3 linked regions of the Oryctolagus cuniculus genome follow. The protein of the gene in region 1 purifies or fractionates together with the protein of each later gene. This does not show direct contact. Links are inferred from orthologs where the notes say so. Each region holds a gene or a part of one and is shown on either strand. Other genes may lie near its edges. The genes, in order: BAZ1B, SMARCA4 and MYO1C.

Region 1 (3,643 bases):
GAGTTCCTGAGTTGTTACTCTGGGCTGCTCTTACCTGATGCTCAGTACCCCATTACTGCCGTGTCCCTTATGGAAGCCTTGAGTGCGGACAAGGGTGGCTTTCTGTACCTGAACAGAGTGTTGGTCATCCTCCTGCAGACCTTGTTACAGGATGAGATCGCGGAGGACTATGGCGAATTGGGAATGAAGCTGTCCGAGATCCCTCTGACCCTGCATTCCGTTTCAGAGCTGGTACGGCTCTGCTTGCGCAGATCTGACGTTCAGGAGGAAAGCGAGGGCTCCGACGCAGATGACAACAAAGACTCCGCGCAGTTTGAGGACAATGAAGTGCAGGATGAGTTCCTGGAGAAGCTGGAGACGTCCGAGTTCTTTGAGCTAACGTCAGAAGAGAAGCTGCAGATCCTGACAGCGCTGTGCCACCGGATCCTCATGACGTACTCGGTGCAAGACCACATGGAGACCAGGCAGCAGATGTCGGCGGAGCTGTGGAAGGAGCGGCTTGCTGTGCTGAAGGAGGAGAATGACAAGAAGAGAGCAGAGAAGCAGAAGCGGAAAGAAATGGAAGCCAGAAATAAAGAAAATGGAAAGGAGGAGAACGGGTTAGGCAAAACTGACAGGAAGAAAGAGGTTGTGAAGTTAGAGCCCCCAGTAGATACGGAAGCTGAAGACATGATTAGTGCTGTGAAGAGCAGAAGGCTGCTTGCCATGCAAGCTAAGAAGGAACGGGAAATCCAGGAAAGAGAGATGAAAGGTAAATTGTCGTGTGGGGGCCGGGCAGGCGTTGTAAACGGAGGGACTGACCAAGGTGTGGCAGGGTCTGTGTGTGTCACAACTGTCCACTTCCGGGTGGTAACCCAGCACCAGCAGATGTGTCTCTTAGTGGGAGTGTTCAGCCCGGCACTCTGCAGCTAATGATGCGTTCCTGTGATGGTGGCATCCTTCTGGGTTCAGGGGAGGACCAAGTCCACAGGTGGGCATAGTGGAAGCAACACCGTGACCTGCTGGGCCTTGGCTGTAGGCCTTGGCAAGCTACTTACCCACGCCTCACTTGGTGCTTGGTAACAGTTGTGGCACCTGAATGACAAGTTATTTGAAGCCCCAAGCATAGTCACCACTTCAGATAGTCCCCTCCCTTAATAATGTTTAAGAGACGTAGAAATTTTGAGCTTTCATGACCACATCAAATCCAAACATTTATAAAAACAGCATTATTAAGAAATAATTTGCATACCATAACATTCATTCATCTATTGTGTATAATTAATTCACTGTTTCTTAATAAATTCACAGATATGTATAACCATTACTGTAGTAATTTTATGTCTATTTTTTTTTTTAACCTAAAAAGAACAACCCGTGTCCTTGGGTGTCACCATCCACCCATCCTCCCCAAGCCAGAAGCCACCACCCGTCTGCTTTCTGTCTCTGTGGATTGCCTGTTCTAGACTTCTCCTATGCAAGACTCATATAATAAATGTTGTTTTTTTGTGACTGGCTTCTTTCACATAGCCGGTTTCCAAGGTTTGTTCACGTTGTAGCACGTAAAACATGTCACATTAAGGAAGCCAGTTTAGAAAGACCATCTCTGCCTAGTTCTCAAACATTCTCATCACCCCAGAAGCCCCCAGCTCCTGTCAGCCGCCCGGTCTGCTCTCTGTTTCTGTGGACTTACATGTTCTGGCTGTCTCTTTGAGTGGAACCACAGAATACATGGCTTGTGTGTCTGTCGTCTTTGACCTTGTCATGCTATGGCCTGCGTCACTACTTTGACCTCATCATGCTACGGGCTGCGTCAGTACTCCTTTCTGGGGCTGAGTGGTAGCCCATTGTTGGGCTGCATGGTATCTTATTTATTCATCCGATGAAGAACGTTTAGGTTATTTCCCACCTTTTGGCTTTTACGGATAATGCTGCTATGGACATTCACGTACAAGTTTGTTTTGGGGGTATATATTTTCGTTTCTCTTGGGTGAATACCTAGGAATGGAATTGGTCATGTGGTCATTTCAGGAGCTGACAGGCTAGGCTGTTCGCAAGAGGGGTTGTGTAGTCGTATATCCCTACCAGCAGTGCAGAAATGTTCTGATTCCTCCATCCTTACCAGCACTTGACACTATCTGACTTTCGAGTTCTTACCATCCTAGTGGGTGTGAATTAATATCTCATGTGCTTTTGATTTGTGGTTACTTGGTGACTACTAAGCATTGTTTCATGTGCTAGTGGCCATTTATTTGGAGAAATGTTAATTCAGATCTTTTGCCTGTTATTTGTTTATATATTTTTTTATTTATTTATTTTTTTGACAGGCAGAGCGGACAGTGAGAGAGAGAGACAGAGAGAAAGGTCTTCCTTTGCCGTTGGTTCACCCTCCAATGGCCGCCACAGCCGGCGCACCGCGCTGATCCGATGGCAGGAGCCAGGAGCCAGGTGCTTTTCCTGGTCTCCCATGGGGTGCAGGGCCCAAGCACCTGGGCCATCCTCCACTGCACTCCCTGGCCACAGCAGAGAGCTGGCCTGGAAGAGGAGCAACCGGGACAGAATCCGGCGCCCCAACCGGGACTGGAACCTGGTGTGCCGGCGCCGCTAGGCGGAGGATTAGCCTAGTGAGCCGCGGCGCCGGCCTATTTGTTTATATTTTTAGTTTTTATTTTATTTATTTGAAAGGTGAAGAAGCTTCCTGTCCACTTTTTTTCCTTTAAAAGATTTATTTATTTATTTGAATGGCAGATTTACAGATAGAGGAAGGGAGAGATAGAACTTTCATCTACTGGTTTACTCCCCAAATGGCCACAATGGCTGGGTCTGGGCCAGGCCAAAGCCAGGAGCCAGGAGCTCCATCCAGGTATCCCTCAGGGGTGCAGGGGCCCAAGCACTGGGGCCATCTTCTGCTGCTTTCCTAGGCATGTTAGCCTAGGAGCAGCCAGGACTGGAACTGGCACCCATGTAGAATGCCAGCACTGCCAGAGGAGGCTTAACCTTATACGCCATGTGCCAGTCCTGATGCTGTCCTTTTGTCCCAGCATCATCTGTTAAAAACTCTATCCTGGCCGGCGCTGTGGCTCACTAGGCTAATCCTCCAACTGCAGCGCCAGTACCCCGGGTTCTAGTCCTGGTTAGGGCGCCGGTTCTGTCCCGGTTGCTCCTCTTCCAGTCCAGCTCTCTCCTGTGGCCCAGGAGGGCAGTGGAGGATGGCCCAAGTACTTGGGCCCTGCACCCGTGTGGGAGACCAGGATAAGTACCTGGCTCCTGGCTTTGGATTGGTGCAGCTCTGGCCGTAGTGGCCATTTGGGGGGTGAACCAACGGAAGGAAGACCTTTGTCTCTGTCTCTCTCTCACTGTCTAACTCTGCCTGTCCAAAAAAAAAAAACACACACACACACACACAATCTTTTCCTTCGTGGAATGATTTTGGTGCCTGAGTCAAAAATTACTTAACTATTAGGCACTTCAGTTTATTTGTGGACTATGAATTTTAGTGTGTTCTCTATGACTATATGCTCTAGTAACTTTAGAAATAGAGAAGAGTTCCTTTCTCAACTTTCCCTTTGTCAAGATTATTTTGGTTATTCTGGGTCTCCTTCAGTTCTGTGAGTTTCTTTTCTTTTCTTTTTTTTTTTTAAGTTTTATTTATTTGAAAGAGAGA
Region 2 (3,643 bases), on another chromosome or scaffold:
CCCGAGCCAGGGCTGGGCCGGGTGCACCGCTAGACTCGCCTCACGATCACCTCAATGCCAGCACCTGAGGGCCCTGCAAGGAGCCACCGCAAAGGCCCCAAGTCCCGCCTTCTCCGTCCATGAGACACACCCCCAAATCCAGCCCTTCCTCCAGCTGGTCCACACGACAGCACTGCCACACCTCGGCAGGGGCGCCCTCGGGCCCAGAGCCCTCCTGGCAGGCCGTGGGGATCCACCTGCCCCACACGAGGTGCTCGGACCTCCCATCTCGGGGGCCTGGGACCCGAGGCACTTGCTGGACGCCACATGCAGCATGCTGCCACCCTCCTGTCCCCAGACCGTGCACCCTGGGTCACGCCTGCCCTGCAGGCCTCTGGTGGTGAGGCCTCCTGTCCACCCCACGCCCTTGCCTGAGTCCTGCCCTTCCCTGCACTCATCTTCACATAAAACCCCCTCCTGTGTTTCACCCGGGCTATCTGAAGCCCAGGAGGGCAGGGGCCGAGTTCCGTCTCCTGCAGCGCCCTCTTCCCCCACGGCCCAACAGACTACTGGGGGGTCTCCACTGCTCCCCCTGTGCCCCCTGACCCAATGTGCAGGGCAGCCGACGGGCCTGGGTCCCGTGGCCCCTTCGTGGTCAGGTCTGAGGCAGGGGTCTCTGCCCCCAACCCACGCCTGTTTTCCCCTTTGCCCACCTCTCACCCAGCCCCTACTGGACCGGGCGCGAGCCAGCTGAGCGGGCCGGGCTGGGGCCGGGACGCACCATGAGCCTGCGCATGCGCTCCTTCTCGATCCGCTCGTTCTCCTTCTTCTGCTCCCGCTCCGTGTTGGCGTGGTACGTGGCCACCGCCTTGGTGAGCTTCTGGATCTTGCCCGTGACGGATCTGTGGTACTCCTTGAAGTCCTTGGCGTGCTGCAGGATGCTGTTGAGGTACTCCTGTGGGTGACGCCAAGGGGGCGCTGACCGCTCGGGGGACGCCACTGGCAAGGGCGCTCCCCCGAGGAGGACCACGCGCTCATCGAGACGTAAGCGCAGCGAGACTGTGCCGCTGCCTGCTAGGAGGCCCGGCCCCGTGTCCTGACAAAACCCAGTGCATATTGTAAGAATATGTCCAAGATCAGTCCAGAAAACCTGGAGGGCCAAGAACGCCTGTTCTAGCGGGATTTTTTTTTTTAAATTCTGAGAGCTGTAAAATATGCTATGTGTGCCCAAACAGGGGAACGGGGGACAGGCTGAGATGGAATACAAGGTTGACATCTGCCGTGTTTCAGCAGTACCTAAACACACACCAACGTGCGGTAATTTTTACCAACACAAAGCTAACTCGGCAGACAGGGGCGACCGTCACAGCCGAGACGAGGCCGCGCGCGGCGCGGGGGCGCCGGCCGGGACGCACCTGGTGCTTCTGGCGCCGCTTGCGCTCCTGCTCGATCTTCTGCTGCTTCTCCAGCTTCTCGGTGATGCGCGCCTCGCGCAGGGACTGGCGCTTGCTGCGCTTGTAGGCCTTGGCGTTCAGCGCCGTCTCCAGCGCTGTGTCCCTCCGCATGCACACCACCACCTCCTGGCGCAGCTTCGGGAGGAACAGGAGACGCTGGCACCGTGCACGCCACACCACGCCACGCCACGCCACGCCGGTGCTGCCGCCTCCGAGACCAACAGCCCCACCCCGCCGGCTCACTCCCAGAACGACGGCACCTGAGACCGGACTGTGAGTCCGTCACTGATGCCCCTCGGGGCCCGCATCAGCAGGACGTGGGAGAAGGAACCCCAGCACCCGACGTGGGAGGTGCTGGGCTCAACGCCCATTCCGGGTCATCTCTAAAAAGATGCTCAGGCACCGATCTGTATGCAGAGAGCGGATGGCAGGAGCCACCGGCAGGCGGCACGGAGCAATGACCATCTGGAGCCCAGCAGAGGGCCCTGGCGTGCCTCAAGCCTGCAGTGGGCCTCCCACAACACACAGAGGTCCTTACGGACCCCCAGAAGACAGCACCCCTTGGAGAGGGGCCGCTCGAGTCTCATCCCCCACCGGGCAACCGTGCCAGAGGGAAGCCCCCGCTTAGGGAAAGCCTCAAGGGCAACCCCTCCCACCACCCACTGGGCCGCAGGGCAGGCACAGGGGACCAACAGCGCCCTTGCGTGAGTGTGAGTGTGCGCACACGTGCGAATGGCCAGGGAGCAGCGCCCCAGCGCCCAGGGAGCAGCGCCCCAGCGCCCAGGGAGCAGCGGCCCAGCACTCAGGGAGCAGCCCCCAGCACTCAGGGAGCAGCCCCAGCACTCAGGGAGCAGCCCCAGCCCCCAGGGAGCAGCCCCAGCCCCCAGGGAGCAGCCCCCAGCCCCCAGGGAGCAGCCCCGGCCCCCAGGGAGCAGCCCCGGCCCCCAGGGAGCAGCACCCAGCACTCAGGGAGCAGCACCCCAGCACTCAGGGAGCAGCCCCAGCACTCAGGGAGCAGCACCCAGCACTCAGGGAGCAGCCCCCAGCCCCCAGGGAGCAGCACCCAGCACCCAGGGAGCAGCACCCAGCACTCAGGGAGCAGCACCCCAGCCCTCAGGGAGCAGCCCCAGCCCCCAGGGAGCAGCCCCAGCACTCAGGGAGCAGCCCCAGCGCTCAGGGAGCAGCACCCCAGCGCCCAGGGAGCAGCCCCAGCCCCCAGGGAGCAGCCCCAGCCCCCAGGGAGCAGCCCCAGCACTCAGGGAGCAGCCCCCCAGCACTCAGGGAGCAGCCCCGGCCCCCAGGGAGCAGCCCCAGCACTCAGGGAGCAGCCCCAGCGCTCAGGGAGCAGCACCCCAGCCCTCAGGGAGCAGCCCCCAGCCCCCAGGGAGCAGCCCCAGCCCCCAGGGAGCAGCCCCAGCGCTCAGGGAGCAGCCCCAGCCCCCAGGGAGCAGCCCCAGCCCCCAGGGAGCAGCCCCAGCGCTCAGGGAGCAGCACCCCAGCCCTCAGGGAGCAGCCCCCAGCCCCCAGGGAGCAGCCCCAGCCCCCAGGGAGCAGCCCCAGTGCTCAGGGAGCAGCCCCAGCCCCCAGGGAGCAGCCCCAGCCCCCAGGGAGCAGCACCCCAGCCCTCAGGGAGCAGCCCCAGCCCCCAGGGAGCAGCCCCAGCCCCCAGGGAGCAGCCCCAGTGCTCAGGGAGCAGCCCCAGCCCCCAGGGAGCAGCCCCCAGCACTCAGGGAGCAGCCCCAGCACTCAGGGAGCAGCCCCAGCCCCCAGGGAGCAGCCCCAGCACTCAGGGAGCAGCCCCAGCCCCCAGGGAGCAGCCCCAGCACTCAGCCCACCTGTCTCTGGAAGTTCAGCAGCCTGAGGGCCTTGAGCTCAATGGTCGCTTTGGTTCGCAGATCCCCGGCCAAGGACCCGGGGAGGTTTTCAAGTTCCTGGATTCGGTGTGCGATGCGAGCCTGCAGCCTGGGGCGGGGAGAGGCAGTGAGAAGGCGGCCCCTCTGCAGGGCCCTGCCTAGGAAGCCCTGGGCAGCCTCCCAAGGACGCATCCTAGGCCGCAGCCCTGAGCCCTGGAGTCTCAGCAGTGGGAGCCAACCTCCGGTCAGGAGGCCCGAGGCCCCGCCCCCGCAGGCCGGGAGGAGTGGCCGTGGGCCTCAGGGGCCCCATCTGTTCACCCCAGGCCCTGGGTGCCACCGTCCCGGGCTCACTGGAGG
Region 3 (3,643 bases), on another chromosome or scaffold:
TTCCCTGCAGGCCCTGGGCAGTGACGGGGTGCGGGTGACCATGGAGAGTGCACTGACCGCCCGGGACCGGGTGGGGGTGCAGGACTTCGTGCTCCTGGAGAACTTCACCAGCGAGGCGGCTTTTATGGAGAACCTGCGGCGGCGCTTCCGGGAGAACCTCATTTACGTGAGGCTCGAGCGGGGCGTGGGGTGGGTGCTGGCCCCCCCCCCCGGGGCAAACCTCTGACCTTGCTCTCCCAACCCCCAGACCTACATCGGCCCCGTCCTGGTCTCTGTCAACCCCTACCGGGACCTGCAGATTTACAGCCGGCAGCACATGGAGCGGTACCGGGGTGTCAGCTTCTACGAGGTGCCGCCCCACCTGTGAGTGACCCCACCCGCCCCCACTGTGCACACCTGTGAGGGTCTCCAGGCCCACCCAGCTCGACCTGGGCGTGGCCTCCAGCCTTAGTGACCCCCAGCTGAGAGGGGCTAGCCCCTAGAAGTGACCTGCATCTTCAGGGGTTACACCTGACTCCCACCCCCACGGGCACTCCAGCTGTTATGGGAGTGGCCCCCCAGTCCTACCTGTGGGGCTACCCCGTCTCCCTGAACTCCCTGACAAGCCCCTGTCGCAGGTTCGCCGTGGCCGACACTGTGTACCGGGCGCTGCGCACGGAGCGCAGGGACCAGGCAGTGATGATCTCTGGGGAGAGCGGGGCTGGCAAGACCGAGGCCACCAAGCGACTGCTGCAGTTCTACGCGGAGACATGCCCCGCCCCCGAGCGAGGGGGCGCCGTGCGGGACCGGCTGCTGCAGAGTAACCCTGTGCTGGAGGTGGGGTGTGGCTGTGGCACGGGGAGGGGGAGAGCCGAGCCGAGAGGGCGCCAGGCCTCCCTCACACCCGTGTCCACACCTAGGCCTTCGGGAATGCCAAGACCCTCCGGAACGATAACTCCAGCAGGTTTGGGAAGTACATGGATGTGCAATTCGACTTCAAGGTACCTATGGGCATGCCAGGGCCGATGGGGGGGACTGCCGCATGCAGGAGACGTGGTATTTCTTGAGCAACTACTGTGTACCGGACATGCTGCAGTGGAACCCAGCAGACAAAAATCCTGCCTCTGGGGTGCTAGACTGAGAGCAGAAACAGTTACAACTTAGATGGTGCCAGAAAATAACAGGAGGGATGGGGGGGGCAGTTGGAATTTTTAATAAGGCAGCTTGTGTAGGCCTTGCCCGGAAGGTAGCATTTTAATGAGGGTTGATGGAGACTGGCAGCCAGCTGTGTGGAGACCTGGAGGAGAATCCAGGCATTGGAACAGCTGGTGACAAGGCCCTGGGCAGGAGGGGACTTGGCAGGTTCCAAGGCCCAGCGACAGGAGAGCAGACGGCGGGGCGGGCCTGCGGGGTCTTTCCAAGGGGAAGGGGGCTTGGCGGAGGATTCTGGGCAGAAGCGTCTTGCTCACCTTTCCTCTCAGAAAGATCGCTCTTCTGTTGGGAGTAGATGGCGGGGGAACCAGGCCAGGCGAGGAACCGGTTGGGAGGCTGATGTAATAATGCAGGTGACAGCTGACAGGGCTCAGAGCAGTGTGCTGGCAGTGGAGGTGCTGCGTGTGGTTGGACTCCGGATGTGTTGGAGGTGAAGGCGGCACGGTTGGCCGTCTGATCAGATGTAGGCTCTGGAAGAAATAGGCTAGACTTCTTGGCTGAACACCTGCTAGATGGGTAGCACTGCCCTCAACCAAGACAGGAAAACGAGAACAGGAGCTGGTGTGAAGAGGGGGAGATCGGGAGTTCGGGTTCAGGCGTGGCAGGCATCCAAGCGGAGCTGCCAAGCGGATGGGGTTGAATCTCCCCATTTCGCAGGTGAAGTTGGTGAGGCCAGAGGGGGTGATGGGTATGAGCCCACACAGCAAGTGGCGGAGCTGAAATTCAAGCCTCTGTGCAGGGGAGGGGAGGGAAGACGGGTGTATTCCCCAGCCCCTGTGACCCGTCCCCTGTGCCTGCCATCCCCGCAGGGGGCCCCTGTGGGTGGCCACATCCTCAGCTACCTCCTGGAGAAGTCCCGTGTGGTTCACCAGAATCACGGCGAGCGCAACTTCCACATCTTCTACCAGCTGCTGGAGGGGGGCGAGGAGGAGACGCTGAGGAGGCTGGGCCTGGAGCGCAACCCCCAGAGCTACCTGTACCTGGTGAAGGTGCGTGGCTGGCCCAGGGGGCGGGGCCGCCCCGGGAGGGGGCCATGGTGCCAGGGCTGGCAACCCAACTGTGCCCTTCCTCTAGGGCCAGTGTGCCAAGGTGTCCTCCATCAATGACAAGAGCGACTGGAAGGTGGTCAGGAAGGCACTGACAGTCATCGACTTCACCGAGGAGGAGGTGGAGGTGAGGCCGCCTGGGGGACTGCGCTCCTTCTGCTCTTTGTGTGTGTGCTTATGTGTGCACGCATGTGTGCATGTGTGTATGTGTGCGTGTGTGCATGTGCGCATGTGTGTGTATGTGTGCGAGTGCATGTGTGTGTGCGTGAGTTGTGTCGTCTTTATTATCTCTGTGTCTTTTATTCTTCCCCTTCTACTCTCAAAAACCATTTCCCCTTTTGCTCTCCAACACTTTGCACCCCTGCCCGCCTCCGGCCGGCCATCCAGTTGCCCGCAGGCTCTCTCCCTCCCCAAGCCTCACGTGCCCTCCCTGCTCCCCTAGGAGCTGCTGAGCATCGTGGCCAGCGTCCTGCACTTGGGCAACATCCACTTCGCTGCCGACGAGGAGAGCAATGCCCAGGTCACCACCGAGAACCAGATCAAGTATCTTAGCAGGGTGAGCGGGTGTGCAGAGGGCGAGGGGAGGGGCCGATGGGGGAGGGGGCGTGTGTTCCCAGCCACACGCACCCCCCTCACACACCCCCCGCAGCTCCTCGGTGTGGAAGGCGCGACGCTGCGGGAAGCCCTGACACACAGGAAGATCATCGCCAAGGGGGAAGAGGTGAGGCGGAGCCTTTGCCCGAGTGTAGGGTCAGTGCAGCTCAGCCCTGCTCTGGCCCTGGTGGTCTTCTGCCCGGTGCTCTGCTCTGCCCTGGTGGTCTTCTGCCCAGTGCTCAAGGGACTTAGGGCAGGTAGCTCAGAGAGACACTGTGAGCTGGCCCAGGTCACACAGGAAGAGACAGAGTCAGGCTGAGACCCAGACTCCCACCTCCAGGAATGAGGCCTCTTGTGCCCCCACCAGCTGCCCCGTGGTGTGGCCACCCCCACCCCGTGTCCTGCTGCTGCTTTCCCTCCCCAGCCCCAGGCTCTCCGGCGCTGAGAGGGAGGGTGGGGTGCTTGGGGTTTGCTGGTCTTCTACCTGAGCCCGAAGGGAGGGGGCATGGAAGAGGTGTGTGTGGCATTGGTCTCCTTGCCTGTCCCCACGCCGACAGCTCCTGAGTCCGCTGAACCTGGAGCAGGCCGCGTATGCACGGGACGCTCTGGCCAAGGCTGTGTACAGCCGCACTTTTACCTGGCTGGTTGGGAAGATCAACAGGTCCCTGGCCTCCAAGGTGAGGGCTGCATGCACGCTGGCCCAGGGCAGGTTGGGGGGGGGGGGAGCTGGGAATAGGGTCAGCCCCGCACATTGGGACCCACGCCCTGGTTGACTGATGGGCCCTAGGACGCCGAGAGCCCCAGCTGGCGGA

Evidence for each region.
Region 2: the proteins of BAZ1B (region 1) and SMARCA4 fractionate together in Homo sapiens (co-fractionation; 3 studies listed by BioGRID, with this or other methods). This does not show direct contact. The link is inferred for Oryctolagus cuniculus from reciprocal best matches to the Homo sapiens genes BAZ1B and SMARCA4.
Region 3: the proteins of BAZ1B (region 1) and MYO1C purify together in Homo sapiens (affinity purification with western blotting; 3 studies listed by BioGRID, with this or other methods). This does not show direct contact. The link is inferred for Oryctolagus cuniculus from reciprocal best matches to the Homo sapiens genes BAZ1B and MYO1C.

What each region holds. Positions count from the first base shown.
Region 1 is NC_091450.1:50,544,524-50,548,166, forward strand, and holds part of BAZ1B (tyrosine-protein kinase BAZ1B), read left to right. Parts: coding exon 1-751; intron 752-3,643. UniProt on the Homo sapiens protein: Atypical tyrosine-protein kinase that plays a central role in chromatin remodeling and acts as a transcription regulator. Involved in DNA damage response by phosphorylating 'Tyr-142' of histone H2AX (H2AXY142ph).
Region 2 is NC_091447.1:66,652,739-66,656,381, forward strand, and holds part of SMARCA4 (transcription activator BRG1), read right to left. Parts: intron 3,396-3,643; coding exon 3,269-3,395; intron 1,569-3,268; coding exon 1,395-1,568; intron 935-1,394; coding exon 761-934; intron 1-760. UniProt on the Homo sapiens protein: ATPase involved in transcriptional activation and repression of select genes by chromatin remodeling (alteration of DNA-nucleosome topology).
Region 3 is NC_091448.1:47,028,797-47,032,439, reverse strand, and holds part of MYO1C (unconventional myosin-Ic), read left to right. Parts: intron 1-10; coding exon 11-166; intron 167-247; coding exon 248-363; intron 364-617; coding exon 618-816; intron 817-899; coding exon 900-980; intron 981-2,000; coding exon 2,001-2,180; intron 2,181-2,265; coding exon 2,266-2,364; intron 2,365-2,679; coding exon 2,680-2,793; intron 2,794-2,886; coding exon 2,887-2,958; intron 2,959-3,388; coding exon 3,389-3,508; intron 3,509-3,618; coding exon 3,619-3,643.